2 linked regions of the Drosophila melanogaster genome follow. The protein of the gene in region 2 interacts with the protein of the main gene of each other region in a biochemical or structural test. Each region holds a gene or a part of one and is shown on either strand. Other genes may lie near its edges.

What was found. The genes of interacting proteins can lie anywhere in the genome.
Region 1: the proteins of Fbp1 (region 2) and Lsp1alpha form a complex in vitro, tested with the Drosophila melanogaster proteins (one study listed by BioGRID).

The regions. Positions count from the first base shown.
Region 1 is NC_004354.4:12,486,492-12,495,182, forward strand, and holds Lsp1alpha (larval serum protein 1 alpha), read left to right. Parts: upstream 1-3,799; 5' UTR 3,800-3,891; coding exon 3,892-4,101; intron 4,102-4,168; coding exon 4,169-6,409; 3' UTR 6,410-6,491; downstream 6,492-8,691. Other genes in the region: Cpr11A (cuticular protein 11A), read left to right, coding at 591-602, 1,336-1,550, 1,826-2,005, 2,151-2,556; Mks1 (meckel syndrome, type 1), read right to left, coding at 7,971-8,691. UniProt on the Drosophila melanogaster protein: Larval storage protein (LSP) which may serve as a store of amino acids for synthesis of adult proteins.
Region 2 is NT_037436.4:14,092,736-14,102,194, forward strand, and holds Fbp1 (Fat body protein 1), read right to left. Parts: upstream 5,319-9,459; 5' UTR 5,225-5,318; coding exon 5,134-5,224; exon of another isoform or gene 5,074-5,133; coding exon 2,075-5,073; 3' UTR 1,854-2,074; downstream 1-1,853.

The DNA of each region.
Region 1 (8,691 bases), on a different chromosome or scaffold from region 2:
CACACTCACACAGACACACACACCACACACACACACACACACTCAGGGAAGAGAATCATCATTAAACGTGTATGCTAATTTGATGATGGCGGTTTTCTAATTTTGTTGCCACGAAAACCAGATTTCTATGCTTTTCGATCTGCGATCAGTCTCCGTCAGCAACGGAGATACCGAGAAGGGAGAATTGTCCAGAAGACCCGTAAAATGTTACATCTTCTGGATGCTGAAGATTCACCGATGGATGATGCCCCTCATCTGGGCTAATCCCCTTCCTCACACACATACACACACATATATATATATATATATATATGCATATATACCATACCGATTTCAGCGTTGACAAACTTTGGCTTTTTTTGATTCTAAGCGGCTGCGACGCCGACAGAGGCTCAGTTCGTTGTCCGGTTCCTATTTCTGTCGACTTCGCTGCCGGCGTCGCTGATAATACCATATATAAGGAAACAAGAAGTCGCATCGTTTGTATTTATTTGCTAGAATCTGTGAGCATCGGAACTAACCGAGCCGCTACAATAAAAAAAAAAAAACATAAATTAGTCCTCGTTACGAAAAAAAAAACACACATAAAAATGAAGAGTTTTGTAAGTGCCCGAAAGTACTGAAAAGTATATATTTAATGAGTTATTTTTTTTTTTGTGGTGTCTCAATAAAAAAAAGGATCAAGTGAAAGTGCGCGCAAAAAATGTCCTTCAAAAGTGTGAATACTTTTAAGCCACAGAAATGACTTTAAAGCTTATTTTGAATCTCAAACAAAAGATACACATTAAAATCAATTTAACCGAAGTTCCTGCGAGGCTGCTTTTTAGTTTTTTTTAAGCTTTACCTAAGAATTAGTATGCCAAATTAAAGAACTAATGACCCACACTTTAAGGAAAGTCCGAAACCTAAAGTGTTTGAATATCACCTTGAGCAGCCGCATAGCTCATCGACGTCAAAACAGACGAATGACAAATATCGAAACGGTTGGAACCCATTATGATTAGTGCCTCGGCCCGAAACCAAATCAAATAAATCACAGCAAATATAGATAAAAAAAATTAAAAAGACTAAAAAAAAAACGAAAAAAAAAATAAATAAACGAGAGAATTGCGAGACAAAGCGACGCTGTGCGGTCAGAAACGCCAGCGATTCGCGCGCGACTTTGATTAATTGCCCGTTAATGCGAAATGCAAAATACGAATCCCAATTCAAATCCAAATCAAAATCCGTATCCAAATCCGAATGCGAAAAAAATAAATCGTAACGACTGTGATCCACAGATATGACTAATGCATCGTGTGACAAGTGGCACTAACCAGGCATTCTATCTTTTAGCTGATCCTTCTGGGTTTCGCTGCTCTGGCCGCTGCCGATGTCAAGCATCTGACAGATCGCAATCTGGACCTCTTCAAGTACAATCCCAGCGATATCTACACCCTGCCCGAGGACATCGATGACGACAAGCCGGCGGTGCACTTTAGCGGCGATGTCATGAAGGCCAAGACCGAAACCCTCCAGAACTACAACTCGGGCAAGAAATTCAAGCTGGAGTGAGTATCTATGGTACCTATATAGTTCATAAAGTGATAGTGTTTGGCTAAATTAAAACATAATTATATATTTATATATGAAGTTGAATCGCAGTCTAAAAGAAAACTACTTTAACATAGGTTTATAGATCTGTAATAACTTTTGATGCATAGCAAATAAATTCAAGTAATTTGATATATTTTTTTAAATAATTTACAAAGCATCAAGTAATTTGATATATTTTTTTAAATAATTTACGAAGCATTACTAAAGTTAAAATGAACTTTTTTTTCAGACTGAAGACCCAGAACGGCATCGAAGTGAGCAGCGTGGGCAAACTGAAGGACGACAAGACCTTCGTGGTCAGCGGCTCCTACTCGTTCACCGGCGCCGATGGCAAGCGGTACAAGACCCGTTACACCGCCGATGAGTTCGGCTATCATCCCATCACCGAGCTGGATCTGGACATTCCCGAGTGAGTAACCAATACACTTTACAAAAAAAACGTTTAAGAACTTCTTCAAACTAGCACATTTGCGTACAAATCAGAAGTTTCATACACTATTATTGCAAATGATATAATGAATATAAAAAACTTATTTTATATTTATATATTTTAGACCCCAGCCTTTGGCTTCTGCCGGACAGCGCCAGACCGTGGATCCCAGCAGCCTGTTGGGCAACAAGAACCGTTTCCAGTTCCTGCAGCAGACCCTGGACTCCGATCAAGGATCGCAAGGTCCTCTGAGGGGCAGTGGACAGAGTGGCGATGACTATAGCTACACGTCTCCCTATGGAAATGGCAATGCTTACGGTAATGGAGTTGGAAACGGATACGGAAATGGAGTTGGCAACGGATACGGAAATGGAGTTGGAAACGGACAAGGAAATGGAGCTGGAAACGCATACGGAAATGGAAATGGAGTTGGAAACGGATACGGAAATGGCAACGGCAATGGCTACGATTATCAGCCACCTCAGGTGCCCCTGGCGACGCCATCTCGTCTGTATCTGCCCACCGCATAAGGCGATTATTATTTAGATATACCCTTATCCAACACCCTTCTCCCGCAAGATTTATGCCCCACCCGATTCCCGATTCCTGATTCCCGATTCCCGATTCCCGATCCTCGATTTTCCCCCCAGCTGCAAGTATTTAGTTTTTAAGTGCAACTCCAACAGGCAAATGAAGAGTAAAACAGAGCTAGCGAAATTTTTTTTTATCATTTTTTAGTGTTATACACGGAGCACAATTTTATATGATATTATACACTGATATATGTTATATATCTAGCCTACACAAAAACACGCACACACACACACAAAAAAAACAAACACACACACAAATCCCGAGCAAAGACACAAACGAATCTATGTATATACACTGAGTGATATTAGTAGTAAATAAAATGGCTAAACTAACGATCAAAGTTTTAATGTGTTTTAATTGAGGAATAATATGGATGGGGATATTTATATATATATTTTGGCTTTGTAATAAAATGTTATTGCAAGCAATTGTTGAAATTTTATTCAGCATCGTTACAAAAAAAAATTCGTTGTTTCAGAATAAAGTTAAGTTTTATTAACTGAAAATGAATAGTTTGTTTACTGTTTTATAAGCATGGCATATACAATTTTCCAACTTAGATACAGAATCTATTATTACAGATTATGATTTTGTTCGAATGCCTAAAAGCATGCAACAAACGTATGAAATTCATCTGCATCTACATATAAATATATAAATTAAAGCGATATTTAATGACTTCTAGTTAAGGCTCTTAGCAGCAGACAAGTTTGCTTGATAAATTCGTTATGTATATGGAATTTAAAACTTTTTTAAAAACGGAATAGAGTGGTAGCCAAATGGTCAAAGTTATGACATTGCTCATACGCCACGTTGTACACACTTTTCTCAAAATAATGCCTGCCAATGCTTAACTTTAGTTCGTAATATGTATATGATTGGTAATATCTCTATATTATATACATATAAATAATTAAAATTCAAAGCGATTGAAACTTGTGCAGAAATTGCAGACAAAGAACCGAATCTAACGCTATTTTTGGAATGCAAATCTGGACTCGATATGTAGGGACCAACGTAGGCTGTCCAGAGATAAGCTGTTGCGGTGCAGTAGCAACAGATGTTCGTGGCGAGCACCTGAGATACACCCGATGATCCCTGATCCCGTCGTCACAGATATGTTATTTCCGATTACCGCGGGAATCTGTGGCTATATAAGCAGACCCGTGGGCGTCGGTAAGGCAACAGTCTTTAGGCATTGGATCCATCAAGTGCATCCGATCCGGAGCAGTTAAAGTTGAGTGTTTCGAACAAAAGAAGGAGTTTCCAGGATGAAGTTTGCCATCGCATTCCTGGCTTGTGTGGCCGTGGTCACTGCGACCGCTTACCACAAGACCCACGACATCAAGGTCGCTGACAAGGCGTTCCTGATGAAGCAGAAGTTCCTCTTCGAGATCGTCTACCGCGTGGAGGATCCGCTGATGTTCGAAGAGTACATTGCGATGGGAAAGCAGTTCTATTTCGACAAGGAGCACTACACGGTAAGTGGGAGAAGAAAGCGGATTCCGAGTGGTCAGTACCACAAAATGCACCTTCAATTCTTCGCAGCACTTCGATCTGTACATGGAGAAGTTCTTCGAGGCCCACAAGGCACACGCTTTGCTGCCCAAGGGCGAGTTCTTTGGCGCCCTGGTTAAGCACCATGCCAAGCAGGCACGTGGACTCTTCAACTTCTTCTACTACGCCAAGGACTGGGAGACTTTCATGACCAATGTGGCCTTCGCTCGTATGCACTTCAACGAGGGCATGTTCGTCTATGCCCTGACCCTGGCCGTGATCCATCGCGATGATTTCCATGGACTCGTTCTGCCCGCCATCCATGAGATCTTCCCGCAGTTCTTCTTCAACAGCAAATTTGTGATGGAGGCCGAGAAATTCGACTATGAGATGTGGATGAAGACTAGCCTGTACGAAAAGGAGTATATGGATGTGTACCACAAGATTCCAACTTTCTCCTCATACGAACATGGATACAAACAAGGAATGGCATACGGATACGGTAAGACACACGGACATGGACAGACATATGAACACGAATTTGGCAGCATGTACCAGACCAGCGACTACATGTACATGAAGGACTTCAAGACATGGCAGTGGTGGAAGCTGATGGGTCTGGGCGAGCACTGGTACAGTGAGAGCAACTACATACTGCGCGAGAACATCTACGAGTACAACCAGGAAAGCAACTGGCTGACGATGATGAAGGACGTGAAGAAGTTCTACATGCCGGTGGACTATAGCCGCGATCTGTACCTCTACAACGAGGAGTCCAAGCTGTCCTACTTCACCGAGGATCTGGGATGGAACAGCTACTGGTACTACTTGAACATGGACTACTCCTTCTTCCTGGACGGCAAGACTTTTGGCCTGCAGAACGATCGTCGCGGTGAATGGTGGCTGTACAATGTGCACCAGCTACTCAGCCGATACCACATGGAGCGTTTGTCCCATGGCCTGGGCGAGATTCCTCAGTTCTCCTGGTTCCACCAGATCGAGATGGGCTACGATCCACAATTGATCTACTACAACGGCATTGGCTACAGCTATCGCAAGAACTACTATGAACTGGAGACGTACGGCAACTTTGAGATGCTGGACAAGATCACCGGCTTCCAGCAACGCATCCAGAACATCGTCGAATTGGGCTACTACCAGACGACCGATGGTCATATGATCGATCTGCGCAAACCGGAGTCCATTGAGATCATCGGTAATATGCTGCAGGGCAATGTGGATGCCATTGACAACATTTTCTTCCAATTCTGGTACATGCTGGCCCATATGTACTTCGCCGATACCCACTACTATCAGATGGAGGTGTACCCCAATGTGATGCTAAACTTCGAGACAATGATGCGGGATCCCATGTTCTATATGTTCTACAAGTCGATCGCACAGGTCTACTTCCAGTTCATGCACCATCTGCCCAAATACACCAAGGAGCAACTTCTCATGCCGGGCGTTACACTGAAGCATGTGGAGGTCAGCGAGCTGGTTACCTACTTCGATCTGGTTGACTTCGATGTGACCAACATGCTCAACGGCAAGATGGTCTTCCACGAGGGTCAATTCTTGTGGGACAAGTCCTTGTTTGCCCGCCAGATGCGTTTGAACCACAAGCCCTTCAGCTACACCTACACCATCGATTCGGCCAGGGATGAGAAGGTGGTCATTCGCGCTTTCCTGGGACCCAAGTTCGATGAGTACGGCAGGATGATCTCGCTGACGGACAACCGCATGAACTTTATGGAAATCGATGAGTTCACCTATACCCTGAAAACGGGCAGCAACCTGATCACCAGGAAGTCAACGGACTTCGCTTGGACCGTCAAGGATCGCACCACCTACACTGAGCTGTACTACTACACGATGATGGCGTTCGATGGCAAGTATGATTACCCGCTGGACCTTACTGAGCCCCACTGCGGATTCCCCGATCGTCTGGTTCTGCCCATGGGCTGGAAGAAGGGCATGCCCATGCAAATGTTCTTCATGGTGGTTCCATACATGGCGCCACAGCACGAGCAGTTCTCCACTTTTGACTACACCTACTCGTGCGGCATCGGATCCGGAGCTCGACACGTGGACAGCCTGCCTTTTGGATATCCCTTCGATCGTGAAATCAACGAGTACGAGTTCCACGTGCCCAACATGTACTTCAAGGATGTGACCATCTATCATGCGGATACAATGGAGAAGTACTATAACTACAAGGAATACACCAACTACGGTCACTTCGATTACTCCTTCTTCAACGACTACTACACCAAGTACTTCAAGTTGTAGATCTGATAACATTCCGATTTTGACCATGGATCGATTGTAGTTAGTAAGCATAGCAAAAAGTGAAATAAACTTTCGAAAATCCAACGTATTCAGATTTCTCTGTTCAGCTTGTCAAAGGGATCGTTAGATAGCTGGTTCAACTTAGCCAAGCTATGATAATAACCGACAATGGAGGTCTTTGCAAAACAGTTTTTGCTCTACATTGTATTTCTAGCAAAAAGTCGATTTTATATATTTCTTGTCCAAAAAGAATCAATTTTTTGGCATAACTTTAGAAATAATAATTTCAATCTAGAATGAAATACCTTGTTGATCTCGTATTGAAATTCCCAATCGAACTACTAGGAAAAATGCGAAATGTAGTTTTTTGCCATTTTTTGCAAATTTTGATGATGACCCCTTACAAAAAATGCGAAAATTGGTCTAAAAATAAATTTTCCTAAGTCCTTCAAAAAATGATAGGGATCGTTAGGATTGGTAATTAGCTGCTCAAAACAGTTATATTGTCATCTATATGACAAATTTTAGCGATGTTATGACGAAAATTCCGTTTGTAAAATCAAGTTTTTGGTAAAAACCCGTTTCTTTCAAATTTCGGTCAATAAATAATCCGTTTTTTTGCCACAACTTTTAAAATAATGGCCCCAATATGGAATGTCATACCTCGTTGAGCTCGTTATTTAATTCCAAATCGAACTGTGTCCAAAAATTGGAATTCTATTTTTTCGCCATTTTTTGCAAATTTTGATGATGCAAAATTTACAAAAAATGCAAAAATTGTCAAAAAAATAAATTTTCCTAAATCCTTCAAAAAGTGATAGGGATCGTTAGCATTGGTAATTAGCTGCTCAAAACAGTTATTCTTTCGTCTATATGACATTTTATAGAGAAGTTATGACGAAAATTCCGTATGTAAAATCACGTTTTTCGCAATACCCGTTTTTTTAGAATTTCCGTCAATAAATAATCCGTTTTTTTGCCACAAATTTAAAAATAATTGCCTGAATATTGAATGTCATACCTCAATGAGCTCGTAATTAAATTTCCCATCAAACTGTGTCAAAAAAAAGGAATTCTATTTTTTTGCTATTTTTTTCAAATTTTGATGATGTTACCCCTTACAAAAAATGAGAAAATTGACTCAAAAATAAATTTTCCTAAATCCCTCAAAAAGTGATTGGGGTCGTTAGCAATGGTAATTAGCTGTCCAAAACTGTTTACATTACATCTTAATGATTATTATTAGCAAAATTATGATTAAAATTCCCATCGAAAAATGTATGAAATTTTGCCAATACCGTTTTTCCGATTTTTGAAATTAATATTATCGGTTTTTTTTTAAATAGGTGTCTGAATATATACCTCTTTGAGCTCGTTCTTAAATAATCTATCCAAAATATTCCACATCAAATGTACATACATATGCTTCTCACGTTTTTTACTCATACATAAAAAAAAATACGTCTTTCATAATATAATTAATTACTAATAATTATACAAATATTATAGTTTATATAAAAAAAAATTATTTGTCATCATATTATTGTACTCATTGAAGGGCTTAAAACTCAGCCTGGTAGTATGCAGATGATGGTGAGGCTGTTTCTGAACTATTTCCCAGGAGCAGCTCGATCCGTTTCCTGGCCTCCACAAAGGCGGCCATTACTTCGTCCAGAGTGGTGGCCCTCGAAGTATCCGGATTTGAACTGGATCTGACATCGTCATCATTGCTATCGCCATCGTCGCTACTATCGTTGCCGAGTTCCAGATGGAAGTGGTGATGGAACTGATCAGATGTGTCTATTTGGCGCTGCTGAAGCTTTTGAAGCCGGAGCGAAAGTGTTCCCGTGGTGGTCATTGGCCTGTCAGAGTTGAAGTTCAAACGGGAATGCATTTCCGATTGCCGATGTACATCGAAGAAGGACTCAAAGTCGAACAGCTGACGACCGCCTATGAAATACCGATTGAGGGCATCCAGCCAGTTGCCCAGTGGTCGGATGCACTGCAGCCGTATGGAGTCCGTTGGCAGGGCGGATGTTAACGGTATCGCATAGTGAGCATATCCCTCACATCGCTCCCGCTGCCAGCTATCTATGCTGATCACTTCAAAATATAGATGCAGTAGATCAGCCGGATGATGTTGTTCCTCCAGCAGCAGGGTCACCTGCCAGCAGTGACCCAAATGGGCACTCCTCCAGTCGCCGGCATTCCTGCACGTGGCCGTCGCTCCCTGCATGGTATCCACCCCAGGTGTACCCTCATAAAAGGTATTTGCTGGTGCT
Region 2 (9,459 bases):
ATTTTTGTTTTTGGTATAAACTGGTAATTTAGGAAACTAACAATCAGTTTTTATGAGTATTAATTTTGTAATGTTACCTAAACTGTACTTTGCAAGCATATTTATTAAATTATAAAACTAAACAAATGTGGTAAATTGTGTAACTAATTATGAAGTAATACTTCTTATTTCAAATCTTTAAAATATATTTTAAAGTGTTCTTTTCGGGATGTTCTTAAGACGCTATCTGCACCGCTGCAAAGGGGCGCTCGCTAATCACAAAAGTTTTCGCCTTTCAGCTACCTTCAATTCGGACTTGGGAATGGGAGGAAAAGGGCATGAACCGATAAACTTACGGGTTAAATAGCCTTTGGCCCCAAACAGCCTCTGTCTGATTAACAAGACATAATTACTTTCGCATTAGGCGGCTGCCTAATAGCTCGTGTAATGCCCCAACTCTCTGGAGCCCCTAATCAGCTCATCAGACACAACAAACTAAAGAAAACAAGATTTTAAATTTCAAATTACAAAATACAAAAAAGGCACATCAACAACAGCGGTGGCAGCAAAATAAAATGGAATGAACGGCGAACCCACTCGAAGATAATGAAAGTGCATTGAGGCGGTAAAAGTCGGGGAAACAGTATCAGGTCGAGTGCGAACATTTTTCCATTATGCAACGTGCCACATTCTTTGCCAAGAACAAGGCGAGAAACTAAGAAGTGATCGACTAAGTTGTAGCTCTTTTTCAAATTGAAAACTTAGAACCATAGACGCGAAAGTAATAATAATAATAATTTCGGTAATAATTTCGAAAAAACTTATCGAGTATGTAAGTTTTGCAGCTAAGATACCACAATTTCACTTTGTTGATGAAAGCGGAACTTGTGTGGAACGAATACAAAACCTAAAAAATATATTAGATAAATTTAACAATTTTATAATAATAATAGCAATATATATTATATTGTATTAGGTTTCAGTGCTACCCTTGTAGTATTCAGATGCCACAGGGTATCACCTCAGGTGTGAGGACAGGGCAACCTGGAAAAATGCAACGTTTAACTGCCTGCGGTGAAATGTCTACCGTTCTTTGGTTGGTCGACTTCCCAGCTGCCCCCATATCCCCAATCCCCAGGATTCGCTTCTAGATCCGGGCGTGATGGGAAAACGCTTCTATAGCGGACCAAATACATATAGAGGGTGAAAAGCCGTTTGGATCCGTTTGGACCTGAGCCAGCCAGTGACAACGAAAGCTCGACAACGGAAAGTGTGATTATATTTTCATTTTCAATTTTTTACGGCCAATTAATTTGGCAATTGACGCTTCGCTGGGCGTCTGCGCTATGGTTCAGTTATATATGTATATGTATTCGTATACGTATTTCCCTGTCGTTGTTGCAAATTGAGTTGTGTGGCAAGAATAAGAAAAGTCTATTATAGTGCCAGGATGGGTTGCCTGCCAGCCATTTGGTCGTTGCATTGTCTGGCTATCCTGGCATCCGCTTGTTCTGTGGGCGGGCATTGTTTGGGGGCGTGGCAGCCGCCTGTAATCCCTACCATCAGCAATTCCAATGCCCCTCATCCCGCTCCACGATGGACATGCAATTTGCATTGAAATTGTTTTTCGAAATTAGAAAAGGTGAACGGCACTTGGGTATATGAGGTGCGATAAAACGATAAAACCATTTTGGGGGATAATCGAGAAAAGTGACAATTTCAATAAGGAGCAAAATTGGAGGTTTAGGGGAGCCCTTAATAGCAAGAGTTTTCCCAAAAGGATACAATTTGTGTAGGCAATGATCAGGGCTTTATAACTTTACCAGTGAACATTTTGTTAACTTATTTTTGCGGCCAATATGAAACAAAAGTTTAATGCTTGATTGCATTGCATTGCTTGCAAAAAACTTTAATGACAAATATATATATATATATATATGAATTACAAGAGTATTTAACATTTTGCTATTTTGCTAAATTGATTTAGATTCGATTAATTAAAACTAGGGTTCGACAGGGGATTTTCGGATAGGTCCATTGAATAGCAGCTGGCCAGACGATCGGTTTAACATATTTGGAACTTCGTATTGGGAACTTAGTTCTCCTGAATGATGACCACATCCTGAAGCAGGACATTGGTCAACTGCAGGAGCTCCTGCTCGTTATGGATGGGCCGGTCCAGAGGATAACCCAATGGGCGGGCATCACGAAGAGAGGCGGAGCCAATGCCAATGGTGATAGCGGGAACGACGTCCTGAACCTGCAGCTCAACCAGAGGAGAAACCACGACCAGGAGTTGCATGGGGAGACCCTCGGGCCTTCCACGGGGTAGCAGCAAGTGCTGGGGGAAGCGTCCGTTCTCGCCGACCAGCTGTTGGATACCCACGACCTGTTGCGCCTGCTGACCCTTCAATTGCAGCATCACTTGGCGGTAGATCTCCACCAGGGGCGTCACATCGCTAGTTGTCCAGGGGATATCGATGGACCTGCGATGAATGCGGTTGCGTCCATTCTCCAGCTGCACTTGGATGGCATCGAGAAGAACGAAGTCACGTCGGCGCTCATCCAGGGAAGCTCCTTGCCTTCCCTGTTGATCCTCTGCGGGTCCCAGGAAGATGCGAATAATAGCATCCTGATCCTGATCCGAAGTGATGTCCATGTCAATGGTGAAGGCCTTGTTGTTGAGGCGACGCTGGCGTCCCACAATCTCCTGCTGGATGCCCTGAACCTGCTGCTCGACCAAGTTGCTCAGGTCCAATTCGTGCTCCTCGATGCGAGTGCGCAGTTTATCCACACGAACATCGTTGATCGAAACACCGCGCATCTGCAGTTGCTCCTGGCGGTAGCCTCCAAGGATTTGTTCACGCTGTTCGTCCACGATCCTCACAATCCGGCGCAGGGTGTACTGCACGACGGGATCGCTGAGGCGGATGCCCAAGCCAGTACGATCGATTTGCTCAATGTTGTTGTCCTGGACCACCTGGCGGATAATGGTCATGATGCCAACCTGACCAAGGCGACCCAGCAGTACATCGGCGATCAGGGATTCCACTTGGCGTTGATCGATTACCTGGCCACGCAGCGAGTTGACATTCACCTGGTTCAGCACCTGACCAATAACCTCCTGGATACGCTGCTCAATCTGGCCGATCTGGGCGAGGACTTGACGGCTGCGCTGGGAATTGATTCGGATTTGGTTCAAGCGGAGGGCATATCGCTCGGATTGCGTCAGGCGGGGATTGTTGATCAACTGCTGCTGCTCTTCGATCAGCTGTCCCTGGGCGATGCTTTCCTGGTTAAGACGTGCGACCAGCTGGCGAAGATTGTGCAGGACAATTTCGCTGAGGCGGTTGTTTTGCTGACGGAGATTGGGAAGGCTGCGGCGGCTTCGTAGTCCCTGTCGGTGCACCACATTCACATCGTCATCGTTGACATCGTCATCATCATCGTTCTGGTGCTTTTGCAGACGCTGCTGGCGGTTCCTTTGCAGCATCTCAAGGATCTCATCATCGGTCATCAGCTTCAGACGGTTTTCGCCGCGGATTAGCTTCAGAATGTCCTCATCTTGGATGGGGCGCTCACCCATGACGCGGCGACCCTCGCCAATGGAGTTAATCCTGCGGGGAAAATGCATCTGTTGTTGCTGGATGTCCTGGTTGTCCTGGTTGAGGCGGCGTCGGTTAATATGCACCAATCGCTCGTCGTCGCGGCTCACGCTCTCCAACTGATCGGCATAGTTTTGACGCTCCTGCTGGACTCCGAAAGTGCGACCTTGTGTCAAGATGTAGTCCTGCTTCTGCCAGTTGTTCTGACGCTCCTGACGCACATCATCCAGCTGACCAACACGACGACCCTCACTGAGGCGGTCTCCTCTCACCAAACCCATGAAACGCTGGCGACCGTTCAGCTGATCCTGCTGCTGATCTTGTTGGATGGCGTTCAAACGGCGACGGCTCACGTGAAGCAGACGGTCACTGTTCACGCTAACGGTGGGCAGGTTATGAGCTCCTCCAATGCGGAGACCTCCCTGGCTGATACCACGCTGCAGCTGGACACGACCCATGCGAATATCCTGATCATCATCGTCATCATTGTCGTCGTTGTCGTCATCCCGGCGGAGGAGACGCTGGAAACGATCCTTTTGGTTTCCATAGATGTTCTGACCCTGATATTCATCCTGTTGCTCCAGAAGGCGGCGGCGACTCACACGGAGTAGGCGTCCAGTGTCTACATCCTGACCCAGATCTCTTTCCTGGTTGTTATCTTGGTACTGCACGCGCTGACGACCGACCCATTGCTCTTCACGTTGATCATTGTTGATCAATTGGCTCTGCTCCAACTGAGTAACATCCTCCAGAAGGGCAAGTTCCTGTATGAGATTTTGAACAAAGTTCTGCAACTCAATATCGTCCGTCAGCAGAGAGGTGCCCTCAACCTGTCCCTGGTTCTCGGCACGGACAACGACGCGTTTCTGGCCCAAAACGTTCTGGATGTTCTGCTGTTTCCTTAGAGCCATCTGCATGTGGATCTCCCTCCAGGGCATCAGGATGCTCATCACTGGGTTCATAGCCCGCTGGCGCATACCCACGATGTCCATGAGCGATGGGCGCTGGGTTTGTTCCCTTAGGACGCTGCGCACCTGCTGAATCACTTCCTCATCCAGATACAGTTCGGGGAGCAGCTCCTGGACAGCGGGCACGATCAGAGCTTGAGTGTCCTCACGATCGCGAATGGCCAGAGCCAAGGCATTAACCAGCAGGACAGGGTTAATGTTACGGCGCAGGTAGACCACATTACGGCGAAGGGTGTCAAAGTCCTGGGCGCGAGCCAGCAGGCGGTATATGCCACGCAGCTGCTGCACATGCTCCAAACGACCCACGGAGTACACCTGGTGCTCGTCGAGGAGGCGACGCTGGCGATCCAGATCGATGACGTTATGCATCACCTTATCAATGCCGCCACGATAACGCTGACTGTCTGCAATCAGACCCACATCTAGATTGATGAGCTCACTCTGCTGTAGAGGCTGACGAATATTCTGGACGATATCCAGGATAAACTTTTGGAGCTGCAGATCCTCCAAGGACATGCGGTCTGCGAAAAAGGGGAAATAAATAGTATATAAATCCTTTCATTTGCGCGTTACCACATTACCAATACCCTGGACCCTGTCCTGATTCGTAGTTATCCTTCCAGCAGCCACAACGCCGGCCGCAAAGGCCACCAACAGCATGATTCTGTTCATCTTGATTGTAACAACTATTGATGTTAACTGATCAATTGAGAAACTGAAGGATTGGAGAGCTCAGATGGATTTAACTTGCTGCAACACAGACCAGCAGGCAACTGCATTTTTCAGTCCGCTCGCTGCAGCTTTTATACCCGAAATTCCTATCGACCCAAAGTGCATCCTATAGGCCTATCGCTTGACTCCCGATTGGGTTGAATGAATTTTGCTGGTGCGAAAATATGTTTATCAGCCCAGAAGCTCCTAAAAAAACCGCTCACTCATTATGCAATTAAAATTAAATAAATTGTTGTCATGGATTGTTCCCGAAAGCGGTGGGGCCTTTCGGGATTCTGACCAAATAGGGTACGTAACTCCGGTTCGTTTCTATTTTGTGGGTCACAAGCCAGTCAATCTATCTTAATTGGTTCATTGATCTACAATTCTGCAAGCCACTTCTTGATCTTTTGGCTTTTGTTTGCTGGCCACGCTGATTAGTCTATTTTCGGAGCAAACATCTTGCAAAGTGCAGTTCGCATTTGTATTGTAGCATGTTAAGAAAGTATCAAGTTACATGCAATATGTTATTAATTAAAATTAAATTAGAAAGAAAAGGAATATGAAGTTCATCCATTTCATCATGCAAATTTGTTTACTGATAAGGACAAGGAAGTCAACATCTCTAAGCATGGAAAAATTCGACTTTGTGCTGATAAGTTATAGAATTTATGAATTTGTTTATGTGCAAGAAATCAGCATAATCGGTGAACGCGTGACTTGTTTGACAAATTAATACATTATTATTGCTGCTAATTCATTTGAACTTAGTGAGTGCTCTAATTGCATGTTAAATGGTGCTTGTTTAGAAATATTTATGCTTAAATCCATTGAAAGATCTTAGCGGTTTCTTATAAGCTGATCGATCTATGGGCTTATGCATGTTTTTTGGGGTGTCTATCTAAAATTCCAATACGAATGCTTAGAATAAACATGTGAATACACTTAGAGTGCAAAAAGTTGCAGAGTTGGAGCCGGAAAATGACGGCCACGTAGCATTTGGCAGCGTCATTGTTCGCGTGAGTGAGTGATTGGCGATTGTGAAAGGATAAAGGATTGCAGTGGGTGGGTGAGCAATGCGATGGGCGAGTCGATGCAATTTTTCTATTCACATTTAAATTGGCAATTCGTTTGTCCGTGGCTTTTGTGTTCGCCCAGCGATTTTTGTTGCCATTTTTTTTTTTTGTTGGTTGGTTGTCTGTGCTGCGACAATTTTGCAACGTGCCTGGCATGCAACGGAAGTGAAAAGCGCTACGTGGGTGGCCATAGCTTAGATTTCGCCTAGGGATGTACTATATCCCAAAGAAAATGACAATGCGATTCATCGGCAAGGTAAACATATGAATAAAGTAATTCAAATGTCTTTAAATATTTAAGGCAAACAAGAGAGTGGTAAGGCTTCTTACTGCAGATTGGTAACTATACATATATAAGCAGATAAATGGTAAAAGCTTTCTCAACCTTTTACATTCAAACTAAGATATGATAATGAGATACGATTTTACATTCAAACTAAGATATGATAATGATATTCAGGAATTTTGGCCATCGCTATCTTGGCTCGACTGTAATTGTTGTTGCTACTGTTCCTTTTCTAATGTAATTGCAATTGTTTGGCAGCTCCGGCCGGGTCATTCAGCCTTTGGATTTCAGTTTTTCCTACCAGAAAATGGGCAGTAAAAGCAACTTTGATTTGCCTCTGCTGCACTTTGCACGCCTTTTTTTTTCCCAACTTGCCATTTTTATGCATGCCAAGCGCATTTGTACGCCATTAATTGCTTCTTTATGCCACTCGTCCCCTTTTGCTGCATGTTCAGCAATTATGCAGCTACAATTTCGCATTAATTGCTCCTTTGTGCCGCAGGGGTGTCCTTTTTGCACCCACTGTAGCCGGAGTGAAAAAAAAAACATTCCGGCATTGTGAGCCGCTGCATTTACGGCGGAGGCGACAGCTGCTCGCTTTAATTGCTCCCGGCTTTGGACATTCGAATGGAATGCGCTTTATGTGCATAGTAATGTCATCCATCGCCCATCCTTTAAACTCATTTTTTCTGGCTGACTTCGGTTTCCTCTTGATACCTTTTAATTCAACCAGCAAAGTTCCTTCCTCGATAAGGTATAAAATACTCAAACCATTATGACTATGCCATTTTACGATCATTGATCTCGTTTGCGCTGTTTCCAAGCGATTCTACTTTGTAATCTCTTAATATGTTATGCTATCAAAATAGGGCCATGCGGTTAATCGTCGTGGGCTTCTTATCGCAGTTCGCAGTTCACCTTTCGAAAAACAGTGCACACTCAAATTTGTGGATTAAAAACAAAGTTGCTGTATTTTACCTTATATCTCTTAATAAAAAAATCACAATAATTTATAAACATACATATATTCAATTACAAGTTTCTACCGCCATTCAGTATAATGTTTTCACCAACTTTGCATCCTTCTCGAAGGAGTGATAAGCTGTATGAAATCGACGACACATCCTTGTCTCGAGTGCCAGTTGTCCTTGTTCTCCCGTGAAAGTCTCTGCCAAGTCAAGTTGAAGTGGTGGATGTTTTCGGCTTCTTTCTGCGATCTGGATACTGAGGATTCGGGATTTGGTTTCATTTTCGGCTTTGTCGCCGCTCGCTTTGACTTAAATGCGATTTAATGCCTTTTTTGTTTGTCTTCCATGCGTCGGATATCCCGTCGACGAGCTGTGGGCGTGATAAACCACATCCTCCCCTTTGCCATCCAGCCACACCCACTTTCTAGGCTGCTAATTTGCTTGGCGTTGTTTTTTTTTTTTTTATGTCTCAACTTTGGCTTGGCGTCTTAATCTTATATCCTTTTCGCGTTTTCCTTCTTTTCGGCTGGCTTGGCATTAAAAAAATATTGTGCGTCCTTTGTTGGGCTGATAAAACTGCTTACAAATGCTTAAAAAATTAAAATTTATTACATGCGATTATGTTGGTTGCCGAGGCCTGGCGACCTTTTGCCATGAAATAGCCTAGAAAATGCAAATGGAATGTCATCACTTTGGCGGTTCAACATATTTCCGGGCATAACTTTTTTCTGTGGACATTGGCCAATTGATTCATGGCCACACAATATCCTTTGCGTAATGGTCTTTCTGGGCCACCTTAAACAGTCAGCAGTCACCAGTCAGCAAAATGAAATGAAATGGAATGGAATGAAAGAAAAAGTACAGCAAATAAATATAAATATAGTAATAATGAAGCATTGGGCCAAAAACGAAGAAGAAAAGCCAAAGTCTGCTGCCAAAAGAAAATATTTCTTTTTATCACAACGGATGTGAGTGTGCCAGGACTGAAATAGCAATGGATGGAGAAGGGACAGGAACGGAGGTGGAGTCGGGTTGTGGAAGTGGCGATAGAGTCCTTGGGCTGGGGTTACCTTCGCCAGCATCCTGCCAAATAAAACAAAAAATTCCCCGACTTGAATAGTGTGAGTACTAGTACTTGGTTCGCTTGAATGGCAAAAGAATGGGAATCCCAGTCGCTATTTTATCAGTGCACTAATAAAAATAAATCGTAGTTCCATGTCACAAAAAGCAAAAGTTGCATGTAAACTAGTTTTATGGCTTTAAATTAGATCGAAAACTGTATATAAAGAAAATAACTCAAGAACATTCAGTTGATATGTATATACGTGGATATGAAAATCCCGAGAATGTGACATACATTTCTTTTCGGTGTACTTTTGTCACCACGACTCTAGGACTTCCCGAACTCGCTGCCCACCCACTTCCTCCGCACAAAGCAAATCAAACAAACTTTTATTTCACACGATTTTCGCTCTGCTATTTTTCTCCCCCACTGACTCGCTTTCAATGTTTTTATTTGTCTTGAAACAAGTGAGTATAGCGAACTGATGCTGATGCTGATGCTGATGATCGGGGTCGAAGGTGAGGGGTCGCACGTGCAGCGCGTGTCTGTTAGTTTTGATAGTCAGTTGACTTCGCTTGTGGATGCCACCCAAGCAAGTGACCCGTTAAATTTTTGTGATAATTGCTATATTCGAGTGCCGAGTTCTCGGTAAATAGCTTTGAGATACTTTCATCAAGGGGTTGCAGTTTTGAATAAAATAAAATATTTTTAAATTAAATGTCTATATATCAGTTAGAAAATGAACGGTCTGTCCCAGTCCAATTGCAATGGGCAATTGCAATGCAGCCTCGATAATTGATTGT